Linked DNA regions of Cricetulus griseus. The protein of the gene in region 2 interacts with the protein of the main gene of each other region in a pairwise test. Links are inferred from orthologs where the notes say so. Each region holds a gene or a part of one and is shown on either strand. Other genes may lie near its edges.

The links.
Region 1: the proteins of Supt20h (region 2) and Atxn1 interact in binary tests that used the Homo sapiens proteins (3 or more experiments, as listed by UniProt). The link is inferred for Cricetulus griseus from reciprocal best matches to the Homo sapiens genes SUPT20H and ATXN1.
Region 3: the proteins of Supt20h (region 2) and Mapk14 interact in binary tests that used the Homo sapiens proteins (3 or more experiments, as listed by UniProt). The link is inferred for Cricetulus griseus from reciprocal best matches to the Homo sapiens genes SUPT20H and MAPK14.

Annotation. Positions count from the first base shown.
Region 1 is NC_048596.1:265,664,888-265,671,186, forward strand, and holds the start of Atxn1 (ataxin-1), read right to left. Parts: upstream 3,601-6,299; 5' UTR 3,379-3,600; intron 2,299-3,378; exon of another isoform or gene 2,140-2,298; intron 1-2,139. UniProt on the Homo sapiens protein: Chromatin-binding factor that repress Notch signaling in the absence of Notch intracellular domain by acting as a CBF1 corepressor. Binds to the HEY promoter and might assist, along with NCOR2, RBPJ-mediated repression. Binds RNA in vitro.
Region 2 is NW_023276806.1:96,570,060-96,575,496, forward strand, and holds part of Supt20h (transcription factor SPT20 homolog), read right to left. Parts: intron 5,057-5,437; coding exon 4,937-5,056; intron 2,641-4,936; coding exon 2,535-2,640; intron 1,125-2,534; coding exon 991-1,124; intron 308-990; coding exon 170-307; 3' UTR 1-169. UniProt on the Homo sapiens protein: Required for MAP kinase p38 (MAPK11, MAPK12, MAPK13 and/or MAPK14) activation during gastrulation.
Region 3 is NW_023276806.1:233,800,486-233,806,580, reverse strand, and holds the start of Mapk14 (mitogen-activated protein kinase 14), read right to left. Parts: upstream 3,601-6,095; 5' UTR 3,430-3,600; coding exon 3,314-3,429; intron 1-3,313. UniProt on the Homo sapiens protein: Serine/threonine kinase which acts as an essential component of the MAP kinase signal transduction pathway.

The DNA of each region.
Region 1 (6,299 bases), on a different chromosome or scaffold from region 2:
AGGGAATGCAAACACTGGCCTGCAGCTCTCTTATTTATATAATTTAATGTTTATTAAATTATATCCCTAAGTATCATATACACGGTTTAATGTGCAAAGCTCCATGCATGATACTGGCTTGTAGCATCCCTAACTTAGCTGTAAAAATATCTTCAATTACTACTGAAGATCATCAAGGATCAGGAGCAACAGATCGAAATTCAGAAAGATAACATTCAGAATGCCTGCCTACTATCAGTGTCCCTTTTTATAACGTGGGCTGTGAAGTTTTAAAATGTGACAGTGGGAATATACTTTCCCAAGAAGCCAGCTCCTCTTAGTAAACTACCTAAAAAGCCAGCAACACTGCCCCCAATTTCAGTCCTAAAGCATGGGTGTCCTCTTCTCTCACACTTGAAAGAGTTAAGTGCCTACAAGGCCAAAGGCTCTAGAATGCAAAAGAAACGTTGCTTCAGTGAGCTCTGAAAGGTTTCTAGCAAGTATCAAATACTTGTTGATCTGCTAACAATAAACACCAGAAGGATTGTCAGGCTCCTTTCACTGTCTGGGGAGATACATTTACATATTGTACCCAGTAGGAACAGTGGGTTGGTTTCCTTTAAAGAAGCTAAGTAGCTAGAAGCCTCATTCAGTCTCCTGTTCAGATGACTGAAAGAAGATGCAATTGAAATGGCGAAGTCTTTCTCCTTTCTGGTTCGGGCAGCTCGAATATTGTGCATAAAACACTAGGAGTAGTTCAGGCAAACCCACCTGAATGGACCAAGAAACACTGTCTGTTGCCATGGCAGCCTGATCTAATTACATGAGTGATCAGGGCCGGAGTAAGTGTACAGAAAACTAACACCACTGACAGTATCTGTATGATGAGAGAGGCAGACAGGCAGGAGGCTTTTCAGCCTCCTATGGAAGGGAGCATTCAAGCCCATTTATTTGCAAAGCTGCTAAAATATTGACTGATGCATGGCCAGTTAGAGGACAATCAGAGGAGATTAAATGCCACAGCTAAACTGTTATGGTGCAATCCCTTCCCAAGAGTTCGTGCACATGTTTTTCTTTTGGTGGCTACCTCTAGCTTCCACTAGCATAAACTTCATTCAAAAATAAAATAAAAATAAACTCTCGGCTGTCAAACTGTCTTAGCTACCTACCCACCATCAAGAAACCAGAGGGTGGGCTTAACTTAGGGCTTCTAGGAACTGCAGGGCTTTTCAGAAAACCAAATAGAAATAGCTTGCAAACACTACTGAAAAGTAACCAGCTGTGCCTAAAAATAACCAGCATGTAACTACCTTGTTGTGTACGACCTATAGCAATGATGTTTAAATATTAAGGGGAGCTTGCATTATAAAACAGAAATGTCACTGAGATGAGACTAGATTGCCACAGGGAAACATATTGCACACACACAGTCCTCTGCATGCAAGGGTGAGAACTCTACTGTAAGGCACTACTTTTTATTCTGTAGGTGGTGTGGGGTCTTCTAATTTTACTAATTGTATCCTGTGGCTCTCTCTGAGAAGCTAAGAAATCTCTTCGGGGACAGAACCAGTTTGGAGGAGTTCCTACTGCACAACATACGGTAAACAAAATAAAAATAGCTTGCCTTTCTTGTTAGCCACATAGAGCATTATATAACCAGCTTCCGACTGGCTTTTTTTTTTTTTCGCCCTTACTACTCTTCAGCAATTTCCCAACCTTCCCAAGTATTTATATTACCCTCTTATCTGTAGGATTATGCAGAAAGAAAGCAAAACAAAACAGGACAGCCACGGGATCGAACTGAACTCCACCGTCTTAAAACCCTGATTTTTTTTTTTTTTTTCTGGCAGAGTCTAGATCACCATCCTACTTCCACCCCCCACCACTAAGGTCCTTGCTCAATCTCCCTAGAAAACCTGAATTGTTTCACCGCTTCCAGTCAGCTCTACGTGGTCTGAAATAAAATGAAAGCGCACAAGCCCCAGAGTTGAAGGAGGTGGCTAAGGAGAAGTCGAGGCGCTGCAGAGTCAGCCAAAGGACCACCGCGGGACCCCTCCCCATCTCGGAGGCTCTGGTCCCCACTCGGCGCGAGAACACACGCACACATACACACCTACACACTCACAGGCTCTCACTCCCTCCTCTCCGACCCCGCCTCACCTCTCGCTCCGCCCGTCCGGCCCCTTCCCTGCCCCCTGCGGGACCGGCCTGCGCGCTCCGTTGCAACCACGTAGGAGGCGCGGCGGCCGCGGCAGCCACGGCAGAGGCGGCGTCTCGGGCTCGGAGTGAACGAGCCGCGGGGCTCCGGGGCGCATCCCAATCCCCGCAGCGCCTCCTCCTCCGCCGCCTCCTCCTTCCCCTCCTCCCATCTTCATTCACCCTCCCTGCCGCCGCGCAGCCGAGCAGTCCCGGAGCAGGGCAGAGCCCCTCCTCGGCTGCTGCCTCGGGCGCCGGCTGGGACGCCGGGCCGGGCCGGGCTGGGAAGCTCGGGCTCCGGCTCCGGCAGCGGCGGCGGCGGCGGCGGCTGCTTTGGATCAGGAAGCGGCCGCACCAACAGGGCGGCGGTGGCGGCGGCTGCAGCCAGGGCCCGTCCCCGCCGCCACTCCCGCTGCGCTCCGATAGCCTGCGCGCCCCTGCCCCCTGCGCCGCCACCTCTCCTCTCCCCCAGGCCGTGCGCAAAGTCCCCGGTCCCCAGAGGCTGGCCTGGGCGGGGAGACCCCAGTCTTGGGGTCGCCTCGCACAAGCTAGGCGACCCCGGGCGGGGAAGCCCAGCCCTCCCTCGAGTCCCCGCGGCGCTCACCGCCCCCTCCCGGGAGGGAGAATTTGCAAAAGCGAAGAGGGCAGCGCGACCCTCAGCCGCTGCCGCCTCCCCCTGCGCCACCAGGAGGGAGGAGGACCAGGCTCTCGGCTCTCGCCGCCGCCGGGCCAGCAGCAGCCTGAGCGGGGCGCCGCCGCTCTCCCCACCCGCGCCCCTTGCCCGGGCGCGCCCCCTCTCCTGGGGGCGGCCCACCCCTGGCTGCTCCCCGGGCCCGCTGCTCCAGCGCCCAGAGTGGGGTCCCGAGCCGGGAGGCTGGAGCCCGGCAGGGGTATATGTACACACACTCACACACACGCGCGCGCGCACACGCACACACACACACACACACACTCACACACACACACACACGCACACACACCACGACGCGTCGGTTTCCTTCGCTCCTCTTCCAGCTGTTTTCCTTGTAGCCCATTGAGACTGGGGGAGGGGAGATTGTACGCTGGATGTTCTTTGGCCCCTCTCCGGAGAGAGAGGATTGGGGTGAGGGAGGGGGTGATTTTAATCTAAATCGAGGGGGGGGGAGAGGAGGAAGGGGGAGGGGGAGAGAAAGAATCAGAGGAGGAAAAAAAATAGCCACTTACTGTAAAGTGTAAATGGATCTGGGGTTGCGTGGGGAAGGGGGGACAGAGGGAGAGACACAGTGTCCTGCGGCTGCTGTAGCTCTAGCTGCGGCTCCACAGGGCTTGTTTTGGATCCCCCTGCAGTGAAACAGGTCCTGTACGGCTCCGCCACTGTAGTAGAAATGATGTCTGCGGTATACTCTGCTCTCTCCTCCTCCTCCTCCCCCCTCCCCTCCCTCCTCCCTCCGCCCGCCCTCCCTCCCTCGCGCTCTCTCTCGCGCTCGCTCGCTCGCTCCAGTATGTAAATGTGTAATAGAAGCCAAATATGGAGCAGTTGGCTGCCGCCGCCACAGCTCAAGGATCCGACTTCATGGGGGGGGGGGGGCACCCTCTGGCAGGCGGCCCGGCGAGCCGCACAGAGCACGGCGAGCGCACGGCGCGGCTGCCGGCCCGCGCCCTTAACCCTTCTGTGCACCCGGCCGGAGCAGCGGTCCCTCCCTCCAGGGGAGGCCCGGTGCCTCTCCCTAACTGCGGCTCCGGATCCCGGACATCGGCCCGTGGGGACTGTGCCTTCCAGGTTTGAGAAAGGGGAGGGGAAGTTGGGGCGATGAGGTCATTGGAGTGGTGACCCGTCGGAGCTCGCGCGCCTCCCCGTCTCCTTGCAACCTAGTTGGAGGGGACAGGGCGAGTGTAGGGTGCAACGCTCGCAGCCTGGAGGACTCACCGCAGCGGGTGTCAGGCTTCGGTTCCCACCTGGTAAAATAAGCAAGGATGCGGGGAAGTCGGCTGACTCTAATCCCGAAGTGACCTTGGTGCCCCCACCCCGCCACCCCGGTGTGTGTCTAAGAGGACTCACTGTATCCTCGCTGTTAACCCTCCAGCCGGTGAGCCCTGAGCAACCCGACTCTGGGCCCGCGCCTTGGCTTGCAACTCGGGAAAGTTCTCAGGCTTCCTCAGTTTGCACTGGCGCCCTCACCTTTCCTGCCCGGACAAGCTGGCAGCCTCCCGACCCTCCTATCTAATTCTGCAGGTCTAGAAATCTGCAGTAGGAATCAGACGTCTCAGTTCTAGCTCTGGGAGCCGACCTGCTCACTCCTTTCTCAGCTAACAGGGAATCACTCATTTCATCGGAAGTGAGGTAACCGGTGCCCCGACCATTCGATGGCGGTTCTCGGGAATCCACGGCAAAGGAACTTTCCCTGGTCCTGGTGGCTGAACGCAGACATAGAGTCCCCCCACCCACCCCCTCCGCTACAGCACTGCCAGGTGTGAGCTCGGTGGGAAGGAATCTTCCCCGGAGGAGTGTACCTTGCCAACAGGTGTGGCACCCGGAGAAAGAGCGGGCACAACCCTACAAGGGTCGCTCAGTGCCGAGTTCCCTTTGCTGCAGATAATTCTCGAAAACCAGTAGGTGTCAGGCCAGCATCTGACCTCTTTCAGGTGCTTAGAACTAAGAGTCTAGAAACCCGATCCCTCGGTCTTGTAGGAAGCCACTATTATTGACTGTAAGCGGGATTTGAGAGACCTTTTGGCTCCGTTTACTTATGACCTAACAGTTAGTCACTGTCTGAAGCAGCGTACAGAATCACCAGGAGAAATGCGTGAGCTTTTTAAACTACTGAATTGTGGAGCCAGCACTTCAGAAGAAAAAAAAAAAAAGCCCGGAGGGGGGGGTAGGATACATATCTATTTTCAGGTTTTGAAATACCGTGCACACATCCACGGCTACTTAAATAGAACTACGACTGTTCCTTCCCTCTCAGCCCCCTCCGTAACTTGTGTTGTTCACTTAAAGATCCATGTTTGTTAGACTTCATATGCTCAAGTGACATTGTTGGTCTCATTACAGCCTCTAGTGGACAGTTAACAGGACTTTCCTGTCAAGGCTCTGACTAGTTTTGTTTTCCCTCCTGAGCTTTATCCAGGTGAGGGTTAATAGTTCAGAGCTTAACTGAGTGGTGTCTGTCTTTGAAAAGGAGCAGAAGCTTGCCGGCTTCGCGTGGAAAAGGCGCATGCTTTGTGTTGCAGGTATTGTGACTGCTGGCCCGTGAATCAACAAAGCTTCTGCTCTTCACTTCAGTTGCAGACAGCTTTCATAAAAAAACCGAAATCCATCTAAAATATTTTTATAACAGAAAATATTGGTTGCCATGTTTTTGGCGTAACTGAGATGTTTTTATTCCAGCTCATAATCTGCAAACTGTCCAATCCACCTCCACTCTATTTTTAGACATCTTACATTTAGAGAATTTTCAAGGGAAAAAACTAATATTGTAATTATTACGTTGGTGCAAGCAGTTAATTTGCATTATTTTAACAACCTTAAACATATTAAAACACATAATTCATATTAGACTTAGTCAATTAATTTAAATGTTCCCCAAAGAAAGCTAAATATGTGCATTACCCACATAGTAAAAATAATTAATAAGAAATGTGCTGTCTACTTTCCTAGCCATTAAGATTAAAGCCATAAACTCTCTCTGTGTCTCTGCCCCCCCCTCTCTCTCTCTCACACACACACACAAACCTACAGCTTTTGCTTCCTGCAAGGTTCAACACAAACATAATACCCATGAAACAGTTTTATTACTTGAATGCTGAAGTATTTTGTTTCCAAATAACAGAATATCAAATGCACCATCAGAAGTACCAAGACAGGTTCTTTAAAAGCAAACGTTCTCATGCAAATGAAAACTCAATGGAAAAAGAGCAGTTTTCAAGGTGGCAGTTGGCAGTTTTATAGCATTATTCCCCTAAACCCAAATCTGATGATATATTTACACAAGACTCAGTCAAGCTTTGAAACAGAGTCAAATTAAGGAAGAAGGCCTGCTGAGTCTTACCCCTAATCTGTGTTATGAGTTACTTAATGTGAAAAGAAATTTTAGTACTTTCTATTTATTTCTCTAAAGATTTTGTGTGTGTGTGTGTGTGTGTGT
Region 2 (5,437 bases):
TAGGAAAACATTTAACCATGTCTCCATATAAGAATCACAGGATTGTCCTTCTGTATAAAGTATGTACATCCATCAATGTAAAATACTGACATCTTGGGGGGGGGGGATGAAGTAGAAATGCAGTTCTTTTCATTCACTGGTCTTGTAAAAAAAAAGAAAGAAAAATTGCTCAGAATTTTGGAGTGGTTGGCATGCCTCTCTTCACTTTACTCTTTGACTGGCCACCTGAATGTCGGTGACGATGTAGCTGGGCTGTTTGTGCGGCGGCTGCTGCCATAGCCATCTGATGTTGCAAGAATCTCAACTGCTGTAAAAGTGGAAAAAAGGAGATGACATTATGTTAAATGCATAGGTGTAGAAAGGTGCTTCCCCAGGAGTGATGAAAACAAGCCCAAGAGGAGAAAGCATGAGGTCACAAAGGGTACTTCCCCAAATCAGGATACTGTAGGGGTCTGCTGAGGGCTTTAAATACTATTCTTGAAAATGATACAATTATCTATTACTTAGCCCTGGCAGTCCATATTGCAGTAATGCAGCAACTTCAGTTACCATTTTGTTGTATGATGATCATTTATAGCAAAATGAACCAATTACCAAGAGTCAATCATGGTATGCTAACACCTTTTCTTAAAATAATAGGTAACATTTTTCTAAACATGTATGACATTTACTAACAGGAACACTCCCACAATACAGAATCAAAGTTAATAATTGGCACTTACAACTATTTCAAAATACAATGCACATTAAAGGGGTGTGTGGAATGTGCCACCAAGACCTTAAAAAGGATTTAAAGATGCACTGTTACAAAATACACTCAATGCTCCAAGCTGACTAGCATTTAAAAATGTCAGACTTCTAAATCAAACTAAATTACTGACCAATTGCTTTAGACTTAACAGACAGGAAAGTAGCCCTACTACTGCAAGGCAATGCACAGTACTTTTGGAACTCAGGGTCTTAATTAATCAAGTGAATCTGCTGGCTTACTTGAATCTGCTGCTGCTGCTGCTGCTGCTGCTGCTGCTGCTGTTGCTGCTGCTGCAAGGCAGAGGAGAGCTGGAGTCTCTGCTGAAGAAGGCTTTGCTCAGGTCTGTTCTCGGCAGAGCTAAGCTGAGACAACACTACAGGAGAAGGGGAAAGCAGGCCAGTCAAAAGTTTGAAGGTGCCCAGGGTTAGAAAACACAATATAGAAAATGAGAAAAATAGAAATTAACCTTAAGTATCAAAGCATACATATTTTAGAATAAATTTAGTCTCCTGCTAATTAAGGGTGTCACTGTTTTCAGAACATTCTGGCCATACAGAGATAAGGGAGTGCCCAGATTAAGGTATTGTATTCCTTCCATCTCTTCTTTTTCTTTTTATTTTGAGACAGAGTCTCATCCCAGGCTGGCCTCAGGACACACTATGTAGAAGAGGTTAACCCTGAATTCCTGATTCTCTTCTTTCCACTTGCAGAATGCTTTGGTTATAGGTTTATGCCATTGTATCCAGTGTTCTGTAGTACTGAAGCACTCTAGCACCTCAGCTACATGCATCCTGCCTCCATGGCAACCTCTTTGCATCCCTATGGAACTTGATACTGGACCATGGTCCGAAAGCCACCCTTATATGAAGTAAAGTGAGCCAAGACTTGCAGCTGATGGGGCCATTCTAGTCATACCACATTCTCAAGTGCAGGTGGCAAGGCAGACCTGGCCTAAGTGACTGCAATTTTGTCTGAAGCCAGACAAATTCTCATGATCTGTCTACCATTCTTTTCACAAATTTACTTTGGCTATTTTAGAAAAACTACAACTTGTTTGGTAAAGGTAGTTACAAATCTGCATTTGGAAATTCACTAATTCTAAATTACAGCTCTATGTAGGAATTACTTTCAAACTGTAGACGTAGATTACTCCTACTAAGTAAGGAACATCTAAATTTGAAAACTGGTAGTTACAGAAAAGGTAACACTCAACACATAGGGACAATTCACTGAATCCTCAAATTCCATTATAGCTTTGTTAATTTTTTTAAATACAATTCTATCATGTGGCTTATTCAAATGTGAAGTCAGAATTCAGTACAGTATTACCTTTTGTTTACTTTCTCCTACTGAAAGTGGGAGCATTCAAATTTCCTTTTTATAAGCAAGTAACTCACAGAAGTTTTACTAATTATGAAGATTTAACTCATAGAAGTACAAACAGAAAAATTATGCAATCTAGGAAAATGTAGTCTCAGGTAATTAAGAAAACAGAATTAACCACTTGCAGTGCAAACACTGAAAACTGCTTTGACAGCTTTCTATAAACTCAGATGAATATGTAAAAGCTGACCAGTTAACCACTGTAAATGGAACATATAAGTATGTGAGTCAACACTTTCACAATCAGCTGTCCAAGTAATTTTTAAAAGAAAAACTCCTGGCCAACTGTTTGTTAATCTAATAGTTCACAGATTAAATACTTCAGTTTTTTTCTGATTATTGCTTGCAAGGAAATAATTTACACAGTGAGATCTCAATAGGAAGTCAGGATGGTACCTACCAGCTGCCTGTGACGGTGTAAAGCCTCCTACTCCTGTAAGATTAATAACAGCAGCTTGCTGAGCAGTTAAGGCCTGTTCTTGAGCAGTTAAACCTTGTTCAGAACCCTGAATTAAGAAAAAAAAAGAATAACAAGTGACTTGTACAAAAAGGGCAAAGCAATTTGAGTCAGTGAGAAGACAGCTTTTCTTTGCTGTATGAGGAAGAAAACAACAGTAGCTTAGGTTTCATATAAATATAAACTATGAACATATGTAGAAGTAGCAAGAATGGAACCCGCTCCTTGGAATGAACAACAGCTAAAATAATTTGTGCTGGAGAGATGGTTCAATGATTAAGAGCACCAAGTGCTCTTCTGCAGGATCCAGGCTTGATCCCCTGGGGGATCAAGGCTGGGGATCAAGCCTGGATCCTGCAGAAGAGGATCATTTCACAATCATTTGTAACTCCAGTTTCAGGGAATCTGACACCCTCTTCTGGCCTCCACAGGTACATGCATGCACATGGTACACAGGCATACATGCAAGTGAAACACCCATACATATAAAAATAAAATTTTAACAAGATATACTCTTGTCATCTCTCAAGATCATACAGAGTCAGAGAGAGGTACAATTTTGATAAATTATAGGGCAAGTAAAATTGTAGAACTCTTAAGAGGAAAATATAGGAGAATGGTTTCACCAGTTTGATTTGTGAATCATTTCTTCAATATGAACCCAAAAGTATAGTGGAAGAAAGTAAACATGTACAGCACAGAATGTATCAAAACTGCACAGGCCATGATCACAGTGAGTAACTGGGGATTTCTCAGATTTTTATGAAGAATATATATACAATGTCTTCAACTCAACAATGCAGAAATATATAACCTCATTAAAAAATAGGCCAGGGATTTATATAGATTTTTTTTTTCTTCAAAGATACAGAAACAAACAAGTGCAGAAAAGCTCTAGCCAGGGAGACTCTCAACTCATTCTCACGTGGGATAGCTGCTACTCAAAACAAAATCAGCTTAAACAGGAAGTGCAATGCCTAGCCTGCTGGAGGCGGAGTTTGATCTCTACCACAAGAAACAGAAAAATAAATAAACAAAAAGTTAGGATTTGGACAGACTGACCCTTGACCACCCTGCTGGTAGTAATGTAAAACAATGCAGCACTATAGTAGAAAACAGTGTGTTGTCTCAGGAAATTAACAGAATTCCTGTAAGACCCAACAAGTTCTTGACACATATCCAAATGAATGACCTGTCTGTTGTGACAGTAACAGACAGAAAAGGACACATGGGCCATGATTCTATCTCCCTACATGAGGCACTCAGGATGGTTAAGATAAAAAACCCACAATGGTGGCTGCCAGTGGATTGAGGAAGTTATCCGCTGTTTATAAAGTTTCAATTTTACAAGGTAGGAAGTGCTTTGTGCAACAGTGTGAATGCACTCAATACTGCTAAAATGTTAAATTTAAATGGTAAACAGCTGGCACGGTTCACACCTGTTATCCCATCACTTGCATGCTGGGGCAGAATGAATGCCAAGTTCCCAGCTAGGCTGGAGTAAGAACCTGTCTCAAAAACAGCAACAACAAAAAGCTTGAACAGTAAACTTCTGGCCCCAAGGCTGACCATAGAACCCAACAGTGTAAGGACAGAACCTACTCCTACCAGTCCTCTGGACTCATGTGTACCATCACCCATACACAGACATAAAGAAAATAAAATTTGTTTTTAAAAGGTGAAAGAAAACTAGACATCTTGTCAGTGAAGCAAAACCCTTAATGTGCTAATATATAATACAGAAAAGGTTTCCAACATGTAATCCCTGAGACACCTATTAGAGGATGAGTTCTACTCACTCAAGATTCAAAGAGGGACATGCAAGAGGGCTGATGGGATAGTTTTCAGCATCAGCTGAGACATTCAAGGTGAGACCCAGTTTCTCAAATGATTCTACAGACTAGCCCAAGTCCAGGAACACTTGTCCCTTTCTCTTCAAACTTCAGTTTATTTAATTACATCCTGACTGTAGTGTGCAGTATCTGCTTCTGTCTGTGTTCTGACTGCCCAATACTTCAAGACAACACAGACAGATCCACTGCAACAACAATAAATTTCTACAAACAGAAGATGATAGGCTAGTTAGAGAAGACATAGTAAGGTGGAGTCAACTGCCACTGTCATTCACTGTCTGGCTATGTGACACTTGCTTGTTGGCAAGATGGAGACCTCCATTCAGAGCAGCTATGATTAGAATAATTGGCAGCTACAGGTGTTGATAAAGAGAAAAAACACAGGAACTATTTCTTTCAACAAGTTCAAACAGTGGAAATGTATGAAAAAAAACATGTCCTAAGTTCCGAGTCCAAAATGCACATAACACAAAAAGGTTAAAGATCCCATACCTGCTCCTCTGGCTGCTGGGGACTTGAGGTTGTAGGCTGTTGAGGTTGTTGTACAAACTGAGGGAGCTGTGGCTGCGGCTGTTGCTGCTCAGTGTTAAAAATGACTGAACCACCAGGAAGCTATCCAGAATTTAAACAAGAATTAGCTACCTTTCCATTGTTTACATGTGAATGATTTAAATTTCCTTACAAATATTCACAGATAATTAGCTAGGAGTCAAGCACTCTTCCAGACTCTGAGGAAACAGATAAAGTCAGAGCAAGAGGACTGGAGATGAAATTCAGCAGCTGCTGGGTCAGCTTCTAGCACCTCCACACACACCACACAGAAGTAAAACAAAACAAGCTTTGTTTTATGGGCTTTGGAGGCTGTCCTAGAACTAGCTCTTGTAGACCAGGCTGGCCTTGAACTCACAGAGATCCGCCTACCTCTGCCTCCCAAGTGCTGGGATTAAAGGTGTGCGACACCATCGCCCCAGCTCCAGAAATTATTTTTAAATT
Region 3 (6,095 bases), about 140 Mb from region 2:
CAAAATCAATGCATTGCAACAATGTGGTCTTAGACAATTTTGCTTCATTTCCCTCTACAGACAATGAACAAAGTTCCTTAAACTTGAAGACTTAGTTTAGTTCCTTTTGCTCTTTTTGAAAGAAAGATACTGTGTAGCTCTATCAGCCCTCAACTTTCTGGTCTTTCATTGATCTTTGATTCATAGTTGGTTACTGCACAATACAGAGCGCTACTTTTTTGTCACTGCTGTTCACTACATAGTGCAAATTAAAATATAGGCTTGAGCTTAAAAAAAAAAGCGCTACACATCAAAGTGTACCATGTCCCATACCAAGATTCCTTTATCCAGAGACCTCAGGGCCAGCTCAATAAGCCATATTAAAAAATGCTGTGATATTATAAGTGTAACCCAGTGTTGCCAACTGGACTGCCTTCTCTCCTTTCAAGGCTTCAGTCTGAATCCCCCTCAGTCACTTGCATTCAAATGGACATCACTGTTTTCCGATATCAAACTGTCTCGGAGGATCAGAGTGGAGAATGGGAACACAAGCCACCAAGTGGGTTAAAAAAGAATTTCAAGAAGTCAGGCATGGTGGCATACACCTTTAATTCTCCTAGTCAGGCAGAGAGGCAGGTGGATCTCTGTGAGTTTGAGGCCAGCCAGGTCTACAGAGAGAGTCCCAGGACAGCCAGGGCTACACAGAGAAATCCTGTCTTGGGGGCGGGGGAGGGGGATGGAGAAAAAGAAAAGAAAGAAATTCAAAAGGTGTTTTCAGTTGTACCCAAAAAGCTAACTGAAAACACAACTTTAGGCCTGAAGAAATGATTCAGTGGTCAGTGCTCCTGTAGAGGACCCAGGTTCAATTCCCATCACCCACATGGCAGCTCACAACTGTCTGTAACTCCAGTTCCAGGGTCTCCATGGCACCAAGCATTCATGGGGTGCACATATATGTGTGTAAGCAAAATACCCACACATATATAAAATAAATAAATCCTCAAAAAAAAAAAAACCCAGCTTCAAATAACTTGAGAGAGTTATTTGCTCAGTCATCATGTACAATTTCAGCTGTCTTTTCCCCCATCGACAGGTTATAGGCTACACCTTACATCTCTGGTACAAACTCTTCGTCTCTGAAAAAGACATGCAAGGAACCGAATAGCGGTTGTCACTGAAGGAAGAGAAAACAGGGCTGGGGAACAGAAACAGAAGGCTTCCTGCTGCATACCTTTTTACATTTTATACATAATGAGTTGCTAATGAGTTGCTTTGTGTTGTTTGTGTATTGCTGGGGATGGAATGCAGGGCCTCCCATATGCAAGACCAGGGGCTGTAGTATGAGTTACATCACTGGTCCTGTATCACATACTTTTTTTGGTTTTTCAAGACCAAGACAGGGTTTCTCTGTGTAGCTTTGGAGCCTATCCTGGCACTCGCTCTGGAGACCAGGCTGGCCTCGAACTCACAGAGATCCGCCTGCCTCAGCCTCCCCAGTGCTGGGATTAAAGGTGTGTGCCACCACCGCCCTGCCCTGTATCACCTACTTTTAAGAAGCTGTTTGGTACAAGTCCTTTCCAACTGTGAGGTGGTGCTGAATTCTATTTCATAGAAAAGAACAGCACCAGAGGAAGTGAGCGTAGTTTTAATGGCACTTCACCACTGAACTTCATTGCAAACCTGGCTCTTCGGCCAGGACAGCAGTGTCCATAGGAAACCTTGCAAGTTCACCCACCCAGATGGCCTACAGTGGAGATACTCTGTTTCACCACTCCCTGAACATTCAAATGGAAAGCAAAGCCTGATACTCTAACAATTAGGAATGACGGACTGAGGTATGCTAATGAGCTATTAAATATTAGAGAATGAAGATAACAGTCGCAAATACACATGACAGATGTGTGAACTGCCATTCTGTAGACATGGGAGAAAGACGTCAGGGTTGGTGCCATCTGCAACATAACTTAAGCAGCTTGCGCCAACAAATGCAATATGATCTGTTGCTGGACACTATTGCACAATCTCAATTACCCAGAAGGTTCTACCAAACAGGAAATTCATGGTGTGACTTTAAGTAACACAGGACTCATACCTAAAGATTAACACATGCAGAACCCTGGAATTTGTTACAAAACAAACCATTTCACAAACCTTCGAAAACAGGAGTGTATATAAATTACTAAAGCACGTGAAGAGCTAAGCTGTTGAACCTCAAGAACCAGAGCTCTAAGAAGACACTAAGCCTAAAAGACACTGTATGAACCCTGGAGAGTTCCTAATCACTTCTGGAGTGGATATTTTATAGTATGGATTTAATTTGAAACCCACTCCCAGGGCCTTGCAAAGGTGGTAAAAGCCTTTATTCCAGGCCAGCCAGAAGAGTGAAGTTCAGGGCAGCCAGGGACATACAAAGTCTCAAATGAACAACAAAGAATCAAGAATCACGGTGTGAATGACAGCTGAGAAACATTGTTTCCTTTGCTCTCACCAAAGCCACGTCCCTCAGCCCTGGGAAAAAAAAAAAAAAAGCAAGCTGATAGCGCGCCCCTACAAATCTTCAAAGGGACTTAAAGAAAAGCATCCCAGGAATTATTTCAACTAAAAAGCTATTTACACCTCCGATCACTTGATCTGGAGTCCCTGTGGCCCGCATGGGAAAACTGATTTGTGGAGCAACACTGAAATGAGCAGTGGTGTGTGACTAAGCGGCGAGCGGTGGCGTCCTTGCAGGCGCTGCCACCCTCCCGCCCCGAAAAGGAAATACGCTTTCAACCGAATCGGAAACACAGCACGCAAGCTGGCACCGCGCTCGCCGAGATAAAGTCAGCATTCTAGGCTCTTCGGGGTGCTGCTAATTCATGTGCTAATTCCCAAAGAACGCTTCCGGAGCCAGATTTGTCCCCCCTCCAGATGGAGTCTTGCAAGAAAAAGGAAAAAACAAAAACAAAAATCCGGGAAGGGAGCGCTTTTTTTTTTTTTTTCTTGCAAGTTTCGTTCCGGTGACCGCAGTCGCGGGGTCAGGCTGTGTGCCCTGCCGCTCCTCGCAGAGGCTCCGCCCGGCTGGCTCGCCCGCTCTCCCGGGGCTGCGGGGCTGCGGAGGGAGCCCGGGAGGGGCGCAGGGTGGAGCCCGCGCGGCTGCACCCGGGTGGGTGAGTGAGGGGTGCAGGGCCCGGCCGGGGCAGAATTCCTGCCGCTGGGCGCATCGCGGAGCCGCGGGCACAGGCCGGGCCTCAGGCTCGCACGCTCGCACGCACGGAGGCTCGCACGCAGGCACGCAGGCAGGGCCGCCCCGCCGGCTCCGGCGTCCCCGGACCCCAGGCCCGGCGACACTCACCACACCGAGCCGTAGGCGCCCGAGCCCACCGGGGACAGGTTCTGGTAGCGCTCGGGCACCTCCCAGATGGTCTTGTTCAGCTCCTGCCGGTAGAACGTGGGCCTCTCCTGAGACATCTTCCAGCGGCGGCCGGGGCCGCTGCCTGCAGCCGCACGCTGTCTGTCCTCGGCGCTCGCCCGCCGCTCGCCCGCCGCTCGCCCGCGCGGGGCTGGCTGGACGCCGCGGCCCCTGTCAGAGCCGCGGGCACGCGCGGGAGCCGGCTGTGCGGCTCGAGGCTGCTCCCGCCGCTGCGCTGCAGCCGCGCCGCGCCGACGCCGCACGACTCCCGCTCGCAGCGCTGCAGCGCCGCCCGCCCGCCCGGGCTCCCGTGGGCTGGCTCCGGCCGCCGCGCTCCTCCCGGCAACGACCGGAGCCTCTCGCGGAAGTCTCGCGAGAACAACGCCCCGTCCCGCCCGCGCCCACGGCCCCGCCCCGTCCGACCGCCCCGCCCCGCCCCGCCGGGATCTTACCCAATACGGAACCCGCCCGTGGGAGGGGCCGCTGCGAGCGCGCCGGAGGCGGCGCCTCTCGCGAGAACACGGAGCGGGCGGGGCTGGCAGGGCTTCGGGGCAGGGGCTCTCGGAGGAGGAGCGCGGGGAGGATGGAGAGGACGGAGGAGGAGCGCGGGGAGGAGCGCGGGGCGGACGGGAGAGAGGAGCGCGCGGAGGAGCGCGGGGCGGAGGAGGACGGGGAGGAGGAGCGCGGGGAGGAGCGCGGGGCGGACGGAGAGGAGGAGCGCGGGGAGGAGCGCGGGGAGGAGCGCGGGGCGGACGGAGAGGAGGAGCGCGGGGAGGAGCGCGGGGAGGAGCGCGGGGCGGACGGGGAGGGCGCAGCGCGTGCCGCGCGCGCCTCGCTGTGGTCGGCTGGGCGAGCGCTGGCGCCAGGGCGGCAAAGCTGCCGGCCCCTGGCTGCCCAGGGACGGACGGACGGACAGACGGACGGACTGATGGACGGACGCTCGCTGCCCCTGCCCCGGAGCCCAGGCCGCCCCTCCAGACGCCCAGGAGCCCCCTTCAGTTTTCTCAGGCTGAAGAGCCGCCCTGGACGTTTCAGAAGCAAATTCCAGGGGCCGGGCCGGCCGGGCTCGGGGCCTGCGTAGCATTTGCGAGGTCCTGGGTTCGATTCCTGTGCTGGAAGGGACAGGGACGTATGTACCCATGCGCGCACACACATGCACACACACACACACACATGCACACACACACGTATGCGCGCACACAATGCACACACACGTATGCACGCACACACATGCACACACCACACACACACACATGCGCGCGCACATGCACACACAGACACACACGCGCGCGCACATGCACACACAGACACGCACACGTGCGCGCACACACGTGCACACACACGCACACACACGTATGCGCGCACACACATGCACCACATGCTCACACACACCACACGTATGTGCGCACACACATGCACACACACATGCTGGTAGGTCATTGTATTCCAGGAAGGTCTCCTCTTCCATATATATATGAATATAATGTATATGAATATTTTACACACACTATATATATTTTATTTATATATATTTATATATATGTAATATATATGTATATATGTAATAAATATATATATGTAATAAATAAATGTAATAAATATATATTTATTACTCTCTGTGACCCCAGCAGTTGGAAGGAAGCCCAGCCTCTGCTGTGCAATGAGTAGCTAGCAGGCAGCCTGGGCTGCTTTTCTGAAACACCCAAAACCCATTCCTGGGGTTTGAGCCTGACTCCTGCCCATGAGAACCATCCCGACTGTAGAGATTTAAAGGAAACTTTGGAGACTCCTAAGAATGTGAACTCAGAGAATTTTAAAGACTTAATCCCCGCCCGGGCGCATGGGGAACGGGGCAGCGAGTTCTGGCAGCGCAGCTTGGAGACAAACCTGCTGACCTGAGGCCCCGGCTCGACTTCCCACGAGAGGTCAAGCATCCCCCCGTCTTGGAAGCTGAAGATAAACGTGACCGTGCGCGCCTCTCTGCGTTCGTCTGAGCAGAGGAGAGGCCGTTTCCGAGGATGCCCAGGGTGCCCGCGGCCCGGGTGTGCTGCGCAGCCGGGTACCCTTCTCCTGGCCCGGGTGCCGTCCACGCCAGCCTGCGCGTCACCCGCCGCACCCCCGGAACGCCCGCGGGTTCTGCAGCAACGGCTCGGAACTGCCGGCCTCCGCGTCCGTCCGCCTCCAGCCAGTCTGACCCCAGCGTCTGCGACTCCCGCCCGCCACCGGGAACCAGGTGAGCCTCGGTCCGGAGCCATCGGGAGCTCTGGCTGCAGCCCGGGAGCCCAGAGGCAGCGGAGCGTCCCAGGGCGGGGCTGGTGGGGTCACCTGCAGGGCCCAGAGGGTCCTGGGCACTCTGGATTGTTTGCGCTACGAGTGGATGGATGGATGATGGGTGGATGAAGGGAGGGAGGGAGGGAGGGAGGAGGGAGGAGGGAGGGAGGGAGGGAGGGAGGGGGTGGGTGGATGGTGGAGGGAGGGGTGAGAGAGGGAGGGAGGGGTGGTGGGTAGGAAGGAGGGAGGGAGGGGTGGAAGGGATGGAGGGGGTGGGAGGGAGGGAGGGAGGGAGGGAAGGAGGGGTGGAGGTAGTCCCTGGAACGTCTCTCTGGGATAGAAAGGCAGCCTGAAACAGCAGCAGGAGACAAAGTGGGTTTTGCAGGCCGGGTCCTCTCAAAGTTCTCTCCTCTCATTGTCTGTGGGCCTCTCCCCACTTCCATCCCTTCTGTCC